Linked DNA regions of Saccharomyces cerevisiae S288C. The main gene of each other region encodes a partner of the protein of the gene in region 2 in a complex. Each region holds a gene or a part of one and is shown on either strand. Other genes may lie near its edges. A codon is read from its position in the direction of its gene.

Region 1 (9,188 bases), on a different chromosome or scaffold from region 2:
ACTAACTTGTGAAATAGTTTTCTAATTTGCTTTTTATTAGAAAAGAAACCATCTTGAACGTTTGACAACACTCTGGGACCAAGTTTCGATGGTTATTTTTTTATTTCCATCGATGTCTTTCACTGTACTTAGTTCCAATTTATATTGCAAACAAGATTAATTTAGGCGATTACTCACTAAGATATACCTATTTCTACTATGGTTATATTAGTCCATTTCATAGCCTTACATTTTCTCTTAGTACGTACTCTCTTGGGATTGGTCTGTTACATTAGTTCGTAAACACTTGTTAATCGTTATAGTTGAGGGAGGGTATATCTAAATATCTGAACTTACTTCTGCTAATGGTTGACGACCAATAACTGATTCGAAAAGTGGAAACTTACAGTTCCTTCAAGGCTACTTTCAGATGCGCTGATGGGCGTGCTTGACACCCATCAGCTTTTCAAGTTATGTATACGTTAATTGCAATAATGAAAGGAGGAAAACAAAACCTTTCCTGCGTATGTATCTATGGGTCTGAGCAACTTCCCAACTTACTGGCTGCCTCTGCGGTAAAAACTATCAAAATATTATTTTGCATTGGTAAATATGATAGACCGGACATAAAATATCCGCAAAAGTAATAGTCTTCAAAATCAACGGACGCTATCATTTTACCCGGCCTTTAAAGCGTGAATAACACGAAAAATTTTATTGCGATGGCCAGAATTGCCTTAGAGGGCAATTTAACATTAATCTGAGGCTGCGGTTTGCACTTAATTCGAAGTTTGAATCGGGTATCCATTAACAAGGGTGATTCTTTCCACAAGTGCATCTTTTTGTCCACAAAAAAAATGACAGGGAAAGTCAACAGAGACCTTTTTTTTAAACTAGCTTCTGATCTTCGAGAAGAGCGTCTACATGCAGCTGTCGCATTAATAAAGGACTTATCCGCATTAGATTTGCCCGACGATGCAGAAGAATGGTCTTATGTATTGAATCGTTTAATCAAGGGTTTGTCGTCTGACAGAAATAGCGCGAGGTTAGGATTTTCTTTATGTTTGACGGAAGTAATCAATTTAGCTGTTAATATGCCACCAGGTCAACGACCAAAAGGTTTAGAATCAACGAACGAGTTCTTGAGCACCTTATCAACCATTTTGAACGTTAATGTCAATGAGGGAACAAAAAAATCCATGAAGGGCAAAGATGAGCGTGGAATTTTATTTGGGAAGTTATTTGGCTTGAAATCTCTACTAAATGAACCTTTATTCTCAGAAATATTTGTTAAAGATTTGGAAAAAGGAAACACCGAGTTTTTCATTCGATTCACGGAACAGCTAATTGATCTGGCCCTGAAGAAAAACTGGATCAAAGAACCATGCTTTTTTACCCTTTTCCAGACTATGAAAATGCTGCTACCTTTTATGGATGAAAGTTCCGCTGAAAAAATTCTTCTGATATATGATAAATATGACCTGACTCTGACAAATGAGGGACTGTCAACTTATTTGTTGCTGAAATATGAAGGTGATGAAAGTCTAATTCCCTCGGTGTTGGATTTGAAAAATCCAGGTTGGAAGGATAACGACCCTCTGGCAAGAGGAAATCTGCCCCTTTTAACAAAAGTATTGAGAAACTCTTCTGTAATTCCGGATGCCAATGGAGGTTTAAAAGAGACGAAAAAACAAAAAAACACGAATTGGAACCCTAGGCTGCATTTTGTTTGGAGTGTTCTGCTACCGTTGTTTGGTAATGGAAAATTAGAGAACACTAGTCATATTTCGAAGAAAAGGAAGAAAACCAACAATAAAAAGGTTCAGAATTCAATTCAATTTCCAGAGTTTTGGAAAATGGCCGTGGACGAATCATTTTTCAATGAGAAAGCTTCTAGTGAAAGAAAATATTTAGGCTTTCTAATAATCGACGCGGCTTTCAAGGCAGTTCCTGGCTCGTACATCGGGTTTTGCTTCAGCCAAAACGTTATGAGAACATTGATCAACCAATCAATAGATTCACAAAGAGTTTTAAATAAGATTTCCCAGTTAACTTTAGACTCCATAGTGAAGGCTTGTGAAGAAGATTCTGCAAACAGACTAGTACCTTGTTTAAATGCAATGTTATTTGGTCCTCACGGTTCCATAAACTTTGATAAGTTAACAAAATCTGGCACCGTTTCCAAACTTATTGCAATTAAAGAATTACCTTCTACTGTTCTTGCCCAATTACTCGATGTGTTTTTTCTACAGTTACAAGATAAAAAGGGAGTTTTATCTCATACCCTTTTTGCTCTTGATTCCATCCTTCATATAGTTCGTGCACACAAAGTCGAAATCAATGACATGGACATAATGAAGCCCGTGTTGAGACCCATCGTATATATGGCTTTCTTCAAACATACATCAGATGATCTGAAGTTAGAACAGCTACACGAATTAGCCAAGGAAAGACTTTATTCCATCCTGGGAGAGTTGACAATAAACAAAGAAATACGTTGCAAAGATCCTGAAATAAACTCATGGCAATATCTGACATTAAAGTTAATACTGGACATTGAAAATTCTCATGTAGGAGATTTAATCAATCCACTGGACGAAAATTTAGAAAATATAAAAAACGAAGCTATATCTTGCTTGAGTAAAGTTTGCAGATCAAGAACTGCTCAATCTTGGGGTCTAAGCACGTTGTTATCTATGTGCTTAGTACAATTATATGCAGGTGACACCGATTCTATTTCTGTGATCGAAGAACTTTGCGAATTTTCCAAACACGAGAATAACTCAATGGTAGGCATCACTGAAATCTTACTATCACTTTTAGCCCAAAAGAAGGCCTTACTCAGGAAATTGAGTTTAATAATCTGGCAGCAGTTTATTGAAGAAGTTGGTTTGGAAGAATTGCAAATTTTATTAGATATTTTAAAAGCGAGAGAAAACAAGCAAGGTTTTGCCCAGCTATTCGAAGGAGAAGAAGAATTTGAAGAAATTAAGGAAGAAAATGATGCCAGTGAAGACGAATCGAAAACTGGTAGTGAAAGTGAAAGTGAAAGTGAGAGTGATAGCGATGATGCTGATGAAAAAGATGAAGAAGACGAGGCAAATGAAGATATTTTGAATATTGATAAAGAGGCCACTAGCGCCTTAGTGAAGGCGTTAAATTTACCCGATAACATAGTTAATGATAAAGGGGAAGTTGACTTAGACCAACTCGAAGGGCTTTCTGACGACGGTGGAGACGATGAAGATGAGGAGTCTATGGATGATGAAAAAATGATGGAATTAGATGATCAGTTATCCGAAATTTTCAAACGTCGTAAGGAAGCATTATCAAGCATATCTACTGGAAACCAGAGGAAATTTGAGGTAAAACAATCTAGGGAAAACGTTATCTCGTTCAAGCATAGAGTTGTCGACATGTTAGCCGTTTACGTCAAATATTGTGAAAAATTGACTCTTGCTAATAAAAGTGAACATTCCAACAATTTAGGAGGCTCATTAAGCAAGCTCGTTTATTTTATTATCCCAATGCTGAAATGTGTCAATGAAACTCTTGATAGGCCACTTGCCGACAAAATTTCTAAATTGTTGAAGGGTAAAATATTCAAGATAAAAGTAACTGCATTCAAAGACATGAACAAAGACATCGAGCTTATGGATTTGTTGAAAAAAACACACAAGCTGATGCTGACTTCTAAGCCAGGTCAGCATGCTGCAGTGTTTTATTCAATGTGCTCAACCAGCTCACTGTTTTTGAGTAAGTTATACGTTGAAATCGGTGGTAACGACAAGCTTGACGAATTGATTGACTTGTATACTGCAACTACCAAAGAGTGGATGCAAAAAGGAAAATGTGGACCTAACATTTTTATTGATTTCATCAATTGGCTATCTTCAAAAAAGCAAACTGTAATGGATAAGGAATAATCTAAGTATATTTTATCACTCCTCAAAATCGGATTATGTATGTTGATCTTTGTTTAATTACGCCTTTTCGCCAAAGAAACAATAAAAAAACTATATATTAGCTTATTATATCCTTGTTCACCTTTGGTGGACCTCCCACGATGGGTAGACTATGGGAACACTTCCAAACTTGTAAAATATTTTCTTCTTCAGCACTTGCTACCAACCAAGGTATTTGAGGGTTCAAATCAAAATCATTCACTGAACTTCTGTGACCTGCGTGGACCATGATCAATTCAGGAACGCCGTCTTCCGCGTCATCAGGTGTTTGTTCTGCTCCAATTTGTTTCAAATCCCACATCATCAATCTATTGTCTGACCCGCTGGATACAACTACACCGTCAACATGGGTTGAAAATTCCAAATTGTTCACTGCATCTTCATGACCCGACATATGGTGTAATGGTTCCTTCATGTTTCTTAGATCATATAGATAAACATACGAGTCCATACCTGCGGCCGCAAGGAGGTTTGAGGAATGATGACTAAATGCTAATGTGTTGAAAGGTTGCGGGCATTTCACAGTATCGATCGTAGTATTGTTTGCCCTGACGTCATTTATTTTTAAGAGAGAATCTTCTGAAACAGTGCCGAATAGATCTTTATTGAAGTTGTGCCATTTATTATCATTAATAATATCAGAATGTAAATCATTCCAAGTTCGTACTGGTTTTGTAGGGTCACCGCCACTCCCCACTTCCCAGAGAGCGACTGTATGATCATCTGAGCCGGAAAGCAATCGCCCTTTGACCAAAGTGCTAAATGATAAAGCATAACCGTTATCCTTATGAAATTTTAGTGTTGACTGAAGACCTTCTGAGCGAGAATAGAGGAAAACTGTGCCTTGCCCATTTATTGTGGCGACAATATTAGGGTCTTGAGGCATATATCGGGCTCTAGTGATTTCTTCTTCGTGCTCATATTTAGCGGTAATCCTTATATTTGACCTAGGAGCAGGTAGAGAGGACTGATACTCCTCTCCTGCTTCTTCTTGTGGGTCTTCATTACTAAGAATTTCCTTTGGTAGATTAATTTCTGCGAATTTCAAATAGTTTTCTTCTTCACCAGAAGTGTGCGTACCGATGATTAATTCTTGTTTAATAAAGCCACCATCTAATTCTTGAACAGGAGTAGGGAGCCATTGGACGGTTAAAGATGGCCATGTTAAACGTGTCTCGCTAACAAAGTCATACATTAATGGAACATTGGATTTCCATAAATCGTACTCCTCGTCTACAGAAAGCGGTTTCTCTTGGTTTTCCATAGTTGATTGGTAATTTGCTATTTGGTGACTACTAGGCTAACCACAATTGATAGGAGAGATAAGAGAGGCAGAAGTATTAGAGGCATAGTAACGTCTTTCTAGTTATTCTCCATTATTATTTTCAAGGTTTGTCTTTGTCATGTCGACGAATGCCAGTGAAAACATCCGTACACCTCACAAATTGTTATTTTGAACAGAACAGACGAGCTACTCATCAAGTATCAAATAGACTGAACAAATGACCTAATCTTTCTAGATTACTCCAAAAGAAAAAGCTGAAAGGAAACCGGTTAAAAACATGAAAGCTTTCTGTAGGGAAGTTTTTTCCTCGCTCTGCTCCTGAGCCTACAGGAGCATGGAAATGGTTGAAAGGACCGAGGAAGAAAGGGAGCATGTCAAATAGAACAAGAGGAAAAAAAAGGTGAAAACAGCTATTTTAAGCAGCAGAAGTTTGAGTCAGAAATGCCTACAATATATGAGAATTTCTTCGCACATGGTTTAAAAAAACTAAATAATCCGCGTGATAACGTTCTCACCAGATTATGAAATCAAATAACAATGCCCCACCTGTATATTGCGATTGACGTAAACGGTAATAAATGTAAAATTTAACATAAAAAAGGGTAAAGAAAACAAACTTTTTCAGGGGTCATCCCTTTTTGTTTTCTTTTTCATTCTTATAAATCAAGAGTATTTTATCGGTAGACAGTTTAGCCGCCGATTTTGTACCGCAGTCCAATATTAGTAAATGTTGGGCACCACTTTGAACATACCGACTCATTGAGACTGCAAGAGCAATTATTTTATATTCTTCTTGAGGCGCCGTTAAAGAGAGAATGAACACGACAATTATCTACAGCATGCAATCGTGGTCAGAATTCTAACTTTTTGTCTTATAAATGCGCACGTATTATTTTCATTTATGTATATATAGATAAATCAGAGCATTGAGTAGTAAAACTGAAGGCTCAAGAGTTCTGATACGCGATGAGAATTCGTGCAGTTAGGATGTCAATTTTGCCAAAATTGGGACGGGCGGCTGCCGTCCGGGGATTCCATGAAGAGAGTGGAAAAAAAAGTGTCACTAACTTCCCACAGGTATCCCCGACACCCTATCCTGCGCTAAGAAAGCCAATCGGCTGAATGTGCAATTGATTGACGTTGAAGGAAAAGAAAAAAAGGAGAAAATTGGGGCGATAATAACAATCACAAACGTCTTCCACTTTTTATCAAATGTTGCGGGAAGAAATAAGGGTAAAATGCCTTGTGTAGGTTCATACATATATAAATAAGTAAGGAAGTTAAAAGAAACCCTTCAAAATGTAACCTACATCATGCGTAGGCTTAATATTAAGCGGAGAAAATCGGCAAGCCCAAGCTTATATTCATATTATGGAATACAAAAGGCGAAAAAGAAAATTGACTAGTAACTAAATTGAAAATTAAATGGCAAATGATGGGATTCAGAGGAATGACAACAGAAAGGGTTTTAAAACTGTACAGTTCTCGGCTTATTCTAAAGAAATTGACGTCATAATGAAAAAAATATCATTCTTGGAAAGAAACATTACCCAACAACTAGATACTCTTCCTCATTTTCCAAAAACCTTACCACCAAATCACAAAGATTGTGTAAGTAGAAAGCACAGGGCCAGGCGAGGTTGGAGTAGTCAGCTGAAAAACTTGCTAGGCATTTACTCCAAAGAGGAAATTTTTACTCTGGATAATTTAGCTGCAACACTGCATGATCAAGTTTTAAAGTTACAAGCTACACTTTTTCCCAATGCCATACTGAAACAGGTTCATCTCGACAATGCCAACATAGAAAACAAGAGAATTCTGAAGGAAATTACATATAAATACCTTTCCAACGAAAACTGTAAAGAGGAGAACAAATTCGGAACATTCATCGTAAAGAGAATTTTTTTTGGTGACTTATCACTCGGGGTTTCCGTGTTAATCAACCGTATTGCTTTCGAATCGGCCACATCATCCATTATGGTAGTGAGAAGTTCATTTATTGAAAGTGATTTCTTTTATGAAGATTATTTGATTTTCGATTGCAGAGCGAAACGACGAAAAAAATTGAAGAGGAAAATTTTGTTTATTTCCACTACCATGAATTTCAATTACCAAACCAAAGTCTAAGCCTGTAACAAACGTTGATTGATACCAATATTTTTTCTCTTTCATTTATCTCTCTGTATATCTAAATAGCTATACTATACATCGAATAATGCTTTCAAGCAGATGCCTTAACGTGCTCCACCACTTCGTCACAAAATTGACCTAACTTAGAGGAGTCCTTACATTCCGCATAAACCCTCACCGCATCCTCCGTACCACTGGCTCTGACAAAGCTTCTTCCCATGGGATACTTGGCTACCACAAGATCTATCTTGTCTTGCAACCCCACTGGATTGAGCAATTTTCTTTCCTGGTCCGTGGTTTGGAAAATTGACCTATCAGGAACGATGCACTTAACCAGCTTGTTGGGCAAATCAGTATACTCTTCATCCCAATCCATTGGCGACATTTTCAAAATCGCCAAAGTAGCAAGGACAGCAAGCATGTCTGAAATAGCATCTCCCACGGTCTGATTAATCAATTCAGAGAAACACTTCAAAGTTCTCAAAGCTAACGTATCACCATTTAACTTGGACTTGGATAATTCAGATTTGATAGTTCGATGAAATTTTTCGCTGAATATAATCGTACCATGTCCATTTGCTTCGAAATAAATGCCAATATCGTACTGAGTGGCAGCTTCATGATGCAAGTGTTTAACACCTGTCTTAGTGCAAGACACGGGACAGTGCAACGTATTTTTTATGTAAGCGGTGGAACTGCCGTTTGCATAGGCAGTTTGCACAACACCAATCTTCAAAGAATGTTCTAGGTGTGCCAATTCTAGTTGTTTAGACAAGAACTTTGCAAACAAAGTGGAAATTTTGTCACCATCCAACAAATGAAATTTTGATCCTGAGTCGACATAGTAGAACACAACCCTGTCTGCGTCACCATCAAAGGAGCAATATAGCGAATCAAACGAGGATGGAGAAAGACCCTTGGGTAATCTCTGGTTAGTCTTCACATAATCCGCACCGCATTCAAAATTCAACAGTTCTGGAACATCGGACCTGTCGTTGATTACCTCAACTTGCTCCGCTGGCACGTCCCAATCTTCGGAGGCCAGTAGTTTTTTCAACTGTGGACCACCGATACCATTGGCTGTGTCTATGAACAATTTTGGGACAGACAGCCTCTTCTCCAGCTGATACGTGGCGAAGAGCTCGTTGAAGGCTCCTATAAAGAACGAATAGTAGTCCTGTTCTGTGGCAACTGGCGCTGTGTCTCCTTCCAGTTTCCGCCTGTTGGACAAATCAGTAATGTAATGCAATTGAGGCGTAGTGACACAGCCTAGGTCCAAAACTTGCGCGTGGAAGACGCTGGCCATGGAGGAAGTCAAGCAGCGCAGCAAGTATGGACTACTTTCCCTAGAGTCTCTCCCAACCACGATGTGAGGCACGACGGTTGTATTCAAATCAATCTTTTCGTGTTCAATCAGCTTGGCCAACTCAACACGAAATTCTTCAAAATTAGTGGCAAAAGAGGCCGCATTGGCCAACTGCATGGCATATGGCTCCCATGTGGCCAAAAGCATCGATCCGTCTGGTTCCACGATCTTGACCCCGTTGTCCTGGTATGGGTTGTGCGACGCCGTGATCATCACCCCCACATACTGACCCTGAAGCTTCAGCGACCTGAGAACCGCCAGTATACCAGTACTGAACATCACCGTATCCAAATTCTTGGCCAGCGTTCTGAATCCGGCCGTACCGTAACTGAACTGCACATTCTTTGTGCGGCACGTGTCATCGTAGAGTTTGCACAATTGCTCGTAATCAACCTTCATCGTCTCTAAGCTTACTGCTGACCTTTGCCTTGGTCCTTGTACTTGTCTCGATTGCTGAAACCAT
Region 2 (9,394 bases):
TGCCGCCTCTTGAGTTCTAATTCTGATCGATTTAATATCTTTAAAAGTTTTCCCTTGTTTGGCAAGAATCCTATATGCTTTTACAGCAGCTTCTACAGCAGTTTGCGCATGGAATTCGGCAGGAAATGATATCTTGAACAGAACGTTTTCCATGACGTAGGAATCATATTTTGATCTTTGTTGGAATGAAAAAGGTTTACCCTTAAATAAAACGTCATAAAATCCCCAGGTTCTAGCTGTTAATACTGAAGGTATCGTGCCAACATTAGCATTTTTGACTAAATAAGCCAAGTTTACAGCCCTCGAAACTGCATCTCCCGCCGCCCACGACTTTCTAGATCCAGTATTTGGGGCATGACGGTAAGTACGCAGTGATTGACCGTCTACAAATGCTTGTGACAATGCTTCAATAGTTTGTTCCTGGCTCAGGCCCAGCATCTTCGAGACAACACCAGCCGTTGCTACTTTCACGAGTACCACATGATCTAAACCTACTTTATTGAAAGAATTTTCGAGCGCTATAATACCTTGGATTTCATGCGCTTTAATCATTGCCTCTAATACGTCTTTAACAAGAAACTGTTTTCCATTCTTTCCGTGGGTAGCCTTGTTTAATCTGGACAAGTGATCCGCGACAGCTAAAATTCCCCCAAGGTTATCTGATGGGTGCCCCCACTCGGCAGCTAACCAGCAGTCATTGTAATCTAACCAACGTATTAGAGTACCAATGGCAAAAGCTCCCTTCACTGGATCCATAACGTAAGATGTGCCCAATATTTTTGTTCCACTGGGAACTATTGTTCCTGGCACAATTGGTTTAATAATATTTTGAGCCTGCTTAAATTTCAAAGCCGCCAAGCCACAGCCTAGAGTATCAAGGAAACAGAGTCGTGCTGTATCTAGAGCCAAAGATGATTTTAATGGGGTTTCATGGACATATTTCGCGATGTCCTTCAAAACCTTATCTGGATTTGGTCTTTCATTAGTTTGTATAGACGCTGTACTCAGCGCAGCAAATTTCTTTTTAGGCAAGCATACCTTGATTTTATTATTTTTTAGATTTTTGGCTAAAAACATTCTGTTTGCTCTCGATCATCAGAGAACAGTAGAAAATACCAAAATACTATTTGAGAAAGTCCTAATAAGTTATACATACATTATGGCAGATTTATATACCTTATACACTTTCTTTGGTCATGCTTTCACATTAGTGAAGGTAAACATATGAGGGTAAAAGTTGAATGACTAGAATGTGGAGAAATAAGGTCATCTCAATAAAGTTTGTAAACGGCCCGAGGTCCGACATCGGGGAAGTGGCTACCTATAGACAGCATCATATATCAGAGAGATTGGGGACGAAAAGCGCGATGTGGTAAAAAAATAAGTCAAAACTCCAGAAATAATACAATCAGAGAAAAAAAAAAAAAATAAGAATATATTTTACTAACGAGATTGGAATTGCTGAATAATTTTTTGATAGGTGTGTTAACCGACCATATTTTCCCCTATATGTTTTCATGATGAATATGTATAAATTAGCTATGATTAGACATGCTGTATGGAATTTTATTTATATTTCAATATTGTAATAGCAAACGAAGCATTCTTGTAAATTGGAACTGCGTTACAACTTGTTAACATTGCTTGCTTTGGTAAGTGCTTCCAGACCCTCCAAGTTCAAACTCTTGGGCCTTTCAATTGGTAAACCTAGAATGCGATCCCAAACAAGTTGTGTCAAGGGTCCCATGGCCCTTGAACACCCAAAAATGACGGTAAAGAATAATAATTCCCTGATTCCATAATGATAAAACAAAATCCCCGATGCAGAGTCAACATTGGGAAATGGATTCTTACTCTTTCCGTGTTCCAACAAAACCTTAGGCGCTATTTCTGCCAATTTTTGCATCAACAAAACGTTCTTGTCGTTCTCAAATTCAATAGGCCTCTTTTGCGCAAATTCAAGCATTGCTGTAAATCGAGGATCCGGTTTACGCAAAACTGCGTGCCCATAACCGGGGATCACACGGTTTGAATTCAAAATTTTCCAAAGATAATCTTTGATTTCTTGTTCTCGTGCAATGCTGGAAATATTAGAGTTCATCTCTATGAGAAACCTTACTACTTCTTGTGCTGCTAACCCATGCAAAGGACCCGCTAATCCCATTATTCCAGATGAATAGCTGAGATACGGGTCACTCAACGCACTTCCAACCAAGTGGGTGGTGTGAGCAGAAACATTACCACCTTCATGGTCTACATGTATACCGGTATATAACCGCATCAAGTTTATGAAGTCCAGGGATTGCTGGGAAGTAAGGTTGCATGTATTAGAAGAGTTCGTTCCATTTGTCATGCCGAGCAGGGAACATATGTTTGTACACCAATCCACCTCCTCACTATATTGACCTAATGGGTGTCCCTCATTTGTAATGTTCGAATAAATTCTCCCAGTCAGCAGCGGGAGTGAAGCAATTAAATTTAGCGAATCTTCAAGAGTATCTTTCCAAAATTCCATCTTTCCTATGAGGCCCTTTTGGTAGTTTGTAGCAAAGAGGGATCCTTTGTTCATTGATGCTAAACCAATTGCAAGTTGGGTCATAGGGTGCATATCTTTGGGTAAACTTGACAAAACTTTCTCTGTATAATGTGGCAATTTCCTTCCACGAATAGCCAATTCTTTCCTGAAAGAAGCAGCTTGCTGGAAAGTTGGCACACCACCTGTCATCAACAGCCATAACATTGATTCTGGCAGGAAATTATCGCCATCAATACCTGTATTAGGTAATCTATTTTGACATTCTTCAATCGTTAAACCTTGAAATTTAATGCCATGTTCGGGATCTAATGATGTTCCTTGCCAAAACATTGACTGATTACCTCTCATCCCACCTAGAACTGATGAAATGGTAATCGGTCCGACAAACGTGCTGCCATAACAGGCCTTCAATTTCTTCACAGCATCTCTTTTCTTAGGTATCACGTTTTCTAATGCTTCCTTGAGAGTCAATGCAGAAGACTTTATAATTGCAGACGAATTGAAGGACCTTCTGCATATATGTGCGCCCGGTAGAAGCCTTTGTACCATTTTGTATTCAATTATTTAGCGGCGTCTATGTATAAATTCTTGATCAAATACGATCTTTTTTTTATGATTAGAATGCTTGACAAGCCAGTCATCTTAAATACATAGGGATGAAAAAGCTTTATCTCCTATTTAAGGTCATCCATTTTCAGTGTGGAGTAAGTCATCAAAACTGCTATTTAGCCGCTTTGCCGATTTCGCTTTAGAACCGCTACCATGGTGTGTCACTTCCCCAATTTTATTTTTCTGTTCAAATTGTTTGCTCATAGAAATATTTATGTTTTTTTGTCTTTCAACTGAATAATATTTCTATTTTCGGAAATCTTAACCAACAAAAAACAATTTTTTATTTTTGTTTAATTTAAAGAAAAAAATTATTTTTATAATTAAAAAAAATTAAAAATAAAAAATATATCATGTGATCTATTTGTGATCACTACCATGATAAGAAATTTTATATCAGTCAAGATAATCTCTTTAATATAACCTGTAATTTAGAATTACGACAACATAACGGCTTCAACCTTTGCATAAGCTTATATTAACTATAGAGACACTTTGATGATCATCTCGATGATGTATTTATAAAAGAATTTCTTATTTCAGGCTTGTTAAACAAATAAATATGTTATTATATATTTAATAAACAGTTAACCTTGAGATTTATTTATCGACTCTATAATACGCCTATAATCATCTTTGACTAAAATAAATGAATTTTGTAAAGCTTCTCTTGCCTTTTCTGGATCAGTTTGATCTAGGGCATCATAATTTTTAATGTACAACCTATTCTTTACCTTTAATTCAAATGATGGAGAATTGTTTAAAAGAAGAAGCATTTCCACAAGACGATTAAACTGTCTTTCTTCCAGTTTTAAAGATTTTCGGCTTGACTCCAAAAACTCATCAGAAAGGTCGGAGTGCTTCTGAAAGACAGCATCATAACCAAGTTTTCGCAGTCTTTGAATATCATTCCTGTCGCGAAGATCGTCAAATGCTTCGTTTGGATCCTCTACAGTAATTTCAGTAATACTTTTGTCTTCTAGCCAAGATTGGATTATAGCCTCATAAAGACAGGATCCGTGGCCTTTATTTTGATAAGGTGGAAAGATCAGAAATTGAGATATTTTGGCTCTGAATTTTTTATCTATATCCTCATCGAAAGATTTTGCTCCAAGGTAGTGCCAATACTTGTAAGTAGTGACGAAACCAATCAATTCTTTTGTTTTCTTGTTCAACAACCAATAGATTTGCCAACTCGGGTCAGTCTCATCTATATAGTTAGCGGCTTCGATAAAAAGTAATGAAAAGATTTGAACACGACGATGCATTCTCCTGGCAAAATCGTCAACCAAACTCGATTTATATACAACAAATTCTTCCCCATTCAACGAATACTCTGATACTTTTTCAAAAACATCAGATAAATTATGTGTTTTTCGTTCTTCTGCAAAGCAATCTACCCATTTAGCTTCATCCCTAACAATTACATCATCCTTTGGTAGAAATGAGAGTAATTTTTTTTCCACGTCTACAATATTGTCGTCTCCTAATTTTGCTGAATACTTGACGTTAACATACGGCTTGAATGTTACTGAATCAAATGCTAGGTGGATGATGAGATCCTTATAGCCGTAGATCTTTTCGGAGTCACCGTAAATTGGATACGTGAATAATGGTGAAAACTGAACAGCGTTTTCTCCAACTATAGAAACTCTTAAGGCTTCGTTGGCGCTTGAAGTCCACGTTTCAGGCTTGAAATCATTGGCAGACATATTCTTGATTCTCACTATAGTTATAGCTTAAGCATAATTTTGCTGAAAACAATTCCAGAAAGATCTATTCCTAACTTCAAGTAGAAATACATAGAAATCTAATAAATTCGTTATTCGAAGACAATATATTTATCACTTATAACGGTGTGCTATTTCAAGAACTTAATCCATCAATTCTGGGATATATTATAACCTTTTGAGGCGATGCAGTAGACCAAAGACTTTACCACGACTTGAAAATGCTTGGCGTAACAGCCAACTTCGAAACTCACTAACATGAAACAGTTTGGACTGGCAGCCTTTGACGAGTTGAAGGATGGAAAGTACAATGACGTAAACAAAACCATACTTGAAAAGCAATCTGTCGAACTAAGGGACCAATTAATGGTATTCCAAGAACGACTGGTAGAATTTGCCAAGAAACACAATAGCGAGCTTCAAGCTTCACCTGAATTCCGCTCAAAATTCATGCATATGTGCTCATCTATTGGGATTGATCCCCTATCTTTATTTGATCGAGATAAGCACTTATTTACAGTGAATGATTTTTATTATGAAGTATGTCTTAAAGTTATAGAAATTTGTCGGCAAACTAAAGATATGAATGGAGGCGTCATTTCTTTTCAAGAGTTGGAGAAGGTGCATTTTCGTAAGCTGAATGTTGGACTCGATGATTTGGAAAAATCTATCGACATGCTAAAGAGCCTAGAGTGTTTTGAGATATTTCAAATTCGCGGCAAAAAGTTTTTACGAAGTGTTCCAAATGAGTTGACATCAGATCAAACAAAGATTTTGGAAATATGCTCAATTCTGGGCTACTCAAGTATCTCTTTATTAAAGGCAAACTTGGGATGGGAGGCTGTTAGGAGTAAATCTGCTCTTGATGAAATGGTCGCTAACGGTTTATTGTGGATTGATTATCAAGGTGGTGCAGAGGCGTTGTATTGGGATCCCTCTTGGATTACGAGGCAACTGTGAGATAGTTGACTTGAACAGGAATGGTGGATGAGCGTTAAGTATTTATCGATGTTGTATTTTATTGAGCACAGTTCTTACCGGTGATCTCTCGTTGTTGTAAACATTCGATATCATATGCATCATAAAAGTTTACATTTAGTCTTTATTTGCATCAACGCAAACCAGGGAAGTACAATAAAATAAGCATTCTATGAACTCGGAGAGCTGACGAAAAAATTTTATATTTTATATGTTGCGGATGAATTATTAATGCCATTATATAAAAATAGGTTATCAATAGGAACGTAATGGTGTGTGATAAGCTTTATAGCCTCTTGAACCACTGCACCTCCAAAAAAGGCCATTACGGAATAGTTATCGTCGACTCGTAAACCAATAAACTCATCTTTATCCTCTGCAGTTACTGCCGGTTGCTCCCAGAATTGGACCATAACTAATGCATCTAAAAGGGCATTCGAGGTGCTAAAAATACCTAACAAGTCACTTTTTGGCGGCAATATTTTCCTGACCTCCCCGTAATGAGAACAAAATGTCTCCAAGACATCCTGTGAAACTATTTTTTTACTGCGAGCCAAACTTTCCTCCACACGAGACTTGTCAAGCTTTGCTTTTACTTCATACAGTTTCTTGAGTCTGATATAATTTTCCGTTGTTGACTCCATATCTGGGAGAGTGCCCGTTAAAGGTTGAAAGCTGAGCTCCCCATTCTCTTTAGCAATATTTTTCAAAGTCAATAATAGTGTGAGAATCTCGTAGTTATAAGTATCATGCCAATCGTTCCCATAATCTGATATTTCCAAATTTCGGAGCAGATCTTCCAGTTCTTTACAACAATCATTTTGAGAGCAGGCCAAGTAAGCATAGCGTTTAGCTTCCACATAATTGGGTTCGTAGATAACATCATTCCCTAAAGGAAGGCAAATTTGGTCTAAAACTTTCTTCATCTGATCAATCGTTATCCTCCCATTATTACCATCCCTTTCAAGTTTTGCAATACACTTCATGAGCAAAACAGTATATGGAATACCAGAAAACGTGGCTGTATCCATTTTACTTAGGTCAAATGTATCTACGTAATTTATTAGTTCAGGCCAAGGGTTCTGTAACCGTAAATCATACTTCTTACTATCTGGGTGTGCTTGCAAAACAAAATGTGTTTCTGAGAGTACCAGATATATATATCCATAAAATCCAGAGACGAAAGTGTTTAGAACAGGCGGAAACTTTGTTCCTCTCTGCCGCCTAATCTCATTTAAATCGAGCATCGCAGTTTGCTCACCAATACAAGTCAAGATCACCACCGAGAAGCGGGTCCAATCATACTGAGGTTGCTGTAACGTCTTTCTAAGGTCATTTTCCTCATATTCTAGCTGTTTAGAAGCCAATGGCTCAAGATCTTTTTTAAGCTCTGCTAAAAACAGAGAACCCGATTGAACTGCACACTCTACTTTGAGCCAAGTAAGAGATGATATTCCGGCAAGCACCAGATTCTTAAAAACTTCCTGCAGCAAAGGTGTAGCAGGTCCTACCACGCACACACGGGACCGGTTCAAACTATCTTGGCCCAATGCTCCCCATAGTCTCAGCTGTCTATCATATCTTTCCATATTTTCATCTACGGCTGTCTAGTTGGCCTAAGAAAGAAAGAGAGGCGACTCATTTTTTTGACGTCAATCGTCTGACTTGTCCTTCTATTTCATTGCTAGGCTAGAAAGCTTAGCTCTTACAACCCCGCTCGTTGCAGCCGAGTGAAAAGGGGATTGCGAAAGGCGTTAGAGGGGATAAAAAGGGGCCCTTTAAAAAAAAGACGGAAAAACCGGGAAGATGCAACGGCTAAATCGCAATATATAAACAGGTGAGATAGAAAAGAAAAAAATCAGTTAACCTCTTTCCTCAATTCCAATGCTTGACCGTAAATTCTCTTTATTTGGTATACGAAAGATTAAACTTTCAAAGCTCCAACACAAGAATGCACAGAACTTACTCTTTAAGAAATCAAAGAGCTCCAACGGCTGCTGAGCTACAAGCTCCTCCACCACCACCATCCTCAACGAAGTCCAAGTTCTTCGGAAAGGCCTCTATTGCGTCTAGTTTTAGAAAAAATGCGGCTGGTAACTTTGGGCCAGAGTTGGCTCGTAAATTATCTCAATTGGTTAAGACTGAAAAAGGTGTCCTTAGAGCTATGGAAGTTGTTGCCAGCGAACGCCGTGAAGCTGCAAAGCAACTGTCTCTATGGGGTGCTGACAATGATGATGATGTTTCCGACGTAACCGACAAATTAGGCGTCTTAATATATGAGTTGGGTGAACTACAGGACCAGTTCATCGATAAATATGATCAATACAGAGTCACATTAAAATCAATTAGGAACATTGAAGCCTCTGTTCAACCTTCGAGAGATCGTAAGGAAAAGATCACAGATGAAATTGCCCATTTGAAATATAAAGATCCTCAATCAACAAAAATCCCAGTTTTAGAGCAAGAACTAGTTCGTGCCGAAGCTGAATCTTTGGTTGCGGAGGCTCAATTATCGAATATCACACGTGAAAAATTAAAGGCTGCTTATAGTTATATGTTTGATTCATTAAGAGAGCTTTCTGAAAAATTTGCCCTGATTGCTGGATACGGAAAGGCCTTATTGGAGCTGCTAGATGACTCTCCTGTCACTCCAGGTGAAGCTAGACCAGCGTACGATGGCTATGAAGCTTCTCGCCAAATTATTATGGATGCTGAATCGGCCTTGGAATCTTGGACCCTAGACATGGCTGCAGTCAAACCAACTCTTTCATTTCATCAGACCGTTGATGACGTCTATGAAGACGAAGATGGTGAAGAAGAAGAAGAACCTGAAATCCAAAATGGAGATATCCCCGGTCAAGTAGTCGAAGAAGAGGAAGTTGAATGGACTACTGAAGTTCCTGTAGATGATGAAGCCCATGAGGCCGATCATCATGTTAGTCAAAACGGTCATACCTCCGGTTCTGAAAACATCTGAGTTTTTTCTAATAATTAATATATTCGAACCTTTCTATATTGTGCTTGTTTTTCACCAGCTCGTGTCTACCTATTATTAATTTCATCTGAATTTGGTTCAAGTATTGTTCGGCCAATATTCCGGTATTGTAATCACCTTTATAATTAATTGAACAAATTTTATAAGACCTAATAATTAACCTTTCTCTTGTTCTCCTTTGCCGTAAGAGATTCAACTTTTCGAAGTCTAATTAAATGAATATGATCTATGAAGTATATATGTACAATAAAAATGCCTATATTAATAAAATTCCTGTCCAAATGCCAGGGCACTTATGCCTCCCTCATCAAACCTCCCCAACTATTCTCCTCTTTACTAGCTCTTTTTTGAAAGCTACATCATTGTCTTTGATATACGCCATTCTTTTTTCCAAAGCAGCCTTTGTGGCTATTGCTTTAACCCGATTTCGATATTCTCTTTTTTTCTGGGAAATGTTTGAGGGTAGGTTTGTGGGCTTCTGATGATCTTGTGCTGTATTGGTGCAGCGTAAAGTAGTGGGGATACAACCCAAAAAACGTAGTATTT

Evidence for each region.
Region 1: the proteins of HAT1 (region 2) and HAT2 are in contact, whole or in part, in a crystal structure (PDB 4PSW), measured with the Saccharomyces cerevisiae proteins. Residues at the interface, in NP_015324.1 of Saccharomyces cerevisiae: Tyr196 (codon at 4,272), Trp197 (codon at 4,269), Tyr199 (codon at 4,263), Gly201 (codon at 4,257), Ala202 (codon at 4,254), Phe205 (codon at 4,245), Asp206 (codon at 4,242), Asp208 (codon at 4,236), Ile209 (codon at 4,233), Lys211 (codon at 4,227), Arg214 (codon at 4,218), Ile252 (codon at 4,104), Thr253 (codon at 4,101), Val254 (codon at 4,098), Asp256 (codon at 4,092), Pro257 (codon at 4,089), Arg265 (codon at 4,065), Glu303 (codon at 3,951), Arg305 (codon at 3,945); in NP_010858.3 of Saccharomyces cerevisiae: His262 (codon at 4,425), Ser263 (codon at 4,422), Ser264 (codon at 4,419), Asn265 (codon at 4,416), Leu266 (codon at 4,413), Leu278 (codon at 4,377), Asp280 (codon at 4,371), Arg282 (codon at 4,365), Pro287 (codon at 4,350), Leu288 (codon at 4,347), His289 (codon at 4,344), Asp308 (codon at 4,287), Gly309 (codon at 4,284), Leu325 (codon at 4,236), Lys326 (codon at 4,233), Gln327 (codon at 4,230), Ile328 (codon at 4,227), Gly329 (codon at 4,224), Ala330 (codon at 4,221), Glu331 (codon at 4,218), Gln332 (codon at 4,215), Thr333 (codon at 4,212), Pro334 (codon at 4,209), Ala337 (codon at 4,200).

Annotation. Positions count from the first base shown.
Region 1 is NC_001137.3:43,188-52,375, reverse strand, and holds HAT2 (Hat2p), read right to left. Parts: upstream 5,209-9,188; coding exon 4,003-5,208; downstream 1-4,002. Other genes in the region: POL5 (DNA-directed DNA polymerase), read left to right, coding at 837-3,905; SDD1 (Sdd1p), read left to right, coding at 6,655-7,356; phosphoacetylglucosamine mutase PCM1, read right to left, coding at 7,451-9,124. UniProt on the Saccharomyces cerevisiae protein: Regulatory subunit of the histone acetylase B (HAT-B) complex. The complex acetylates 'Lys-12' of histone H4 which is required for telomeric silencing.
Region 2 is NC_001148.4:550,068-559,461, reverse strand, and holds HAT1 (histone acetyltransferase catalytic subunit HAT1), read right to left. Parts: upstream 4,858-9,394; coding exon 3,733-4,857; downstream 1-3,732. Other genes in the region: PDH1 (putative 2-methylcitrate dehydratase), read right to left, coding at 1-1,077; citrate (Si)-synthase CIT3, read right to left, coding at 1,625-3,085; ESCRT-II subunit protein SNF8, read left to right, coding at 5,134-5,835; ULA1 (Ula1p), read right to left, coding at 6,054-7,442; lipid-binding protein LSP1, read left to right, coding at 7,805-8,830; AEP3 (Aep3p), read right to left, coding at 9,156-9,394. UniProt on the Saccharomyces cerevisiae protein: Catalytic component of the histone acetylase B (HAT-B) complex. Acetylates 'Lys-12' of free histone H4 in the cytoplasm. The complex is also found in the nucleus, however it is not certain that it modifies histone H4 when packaged in chromatin.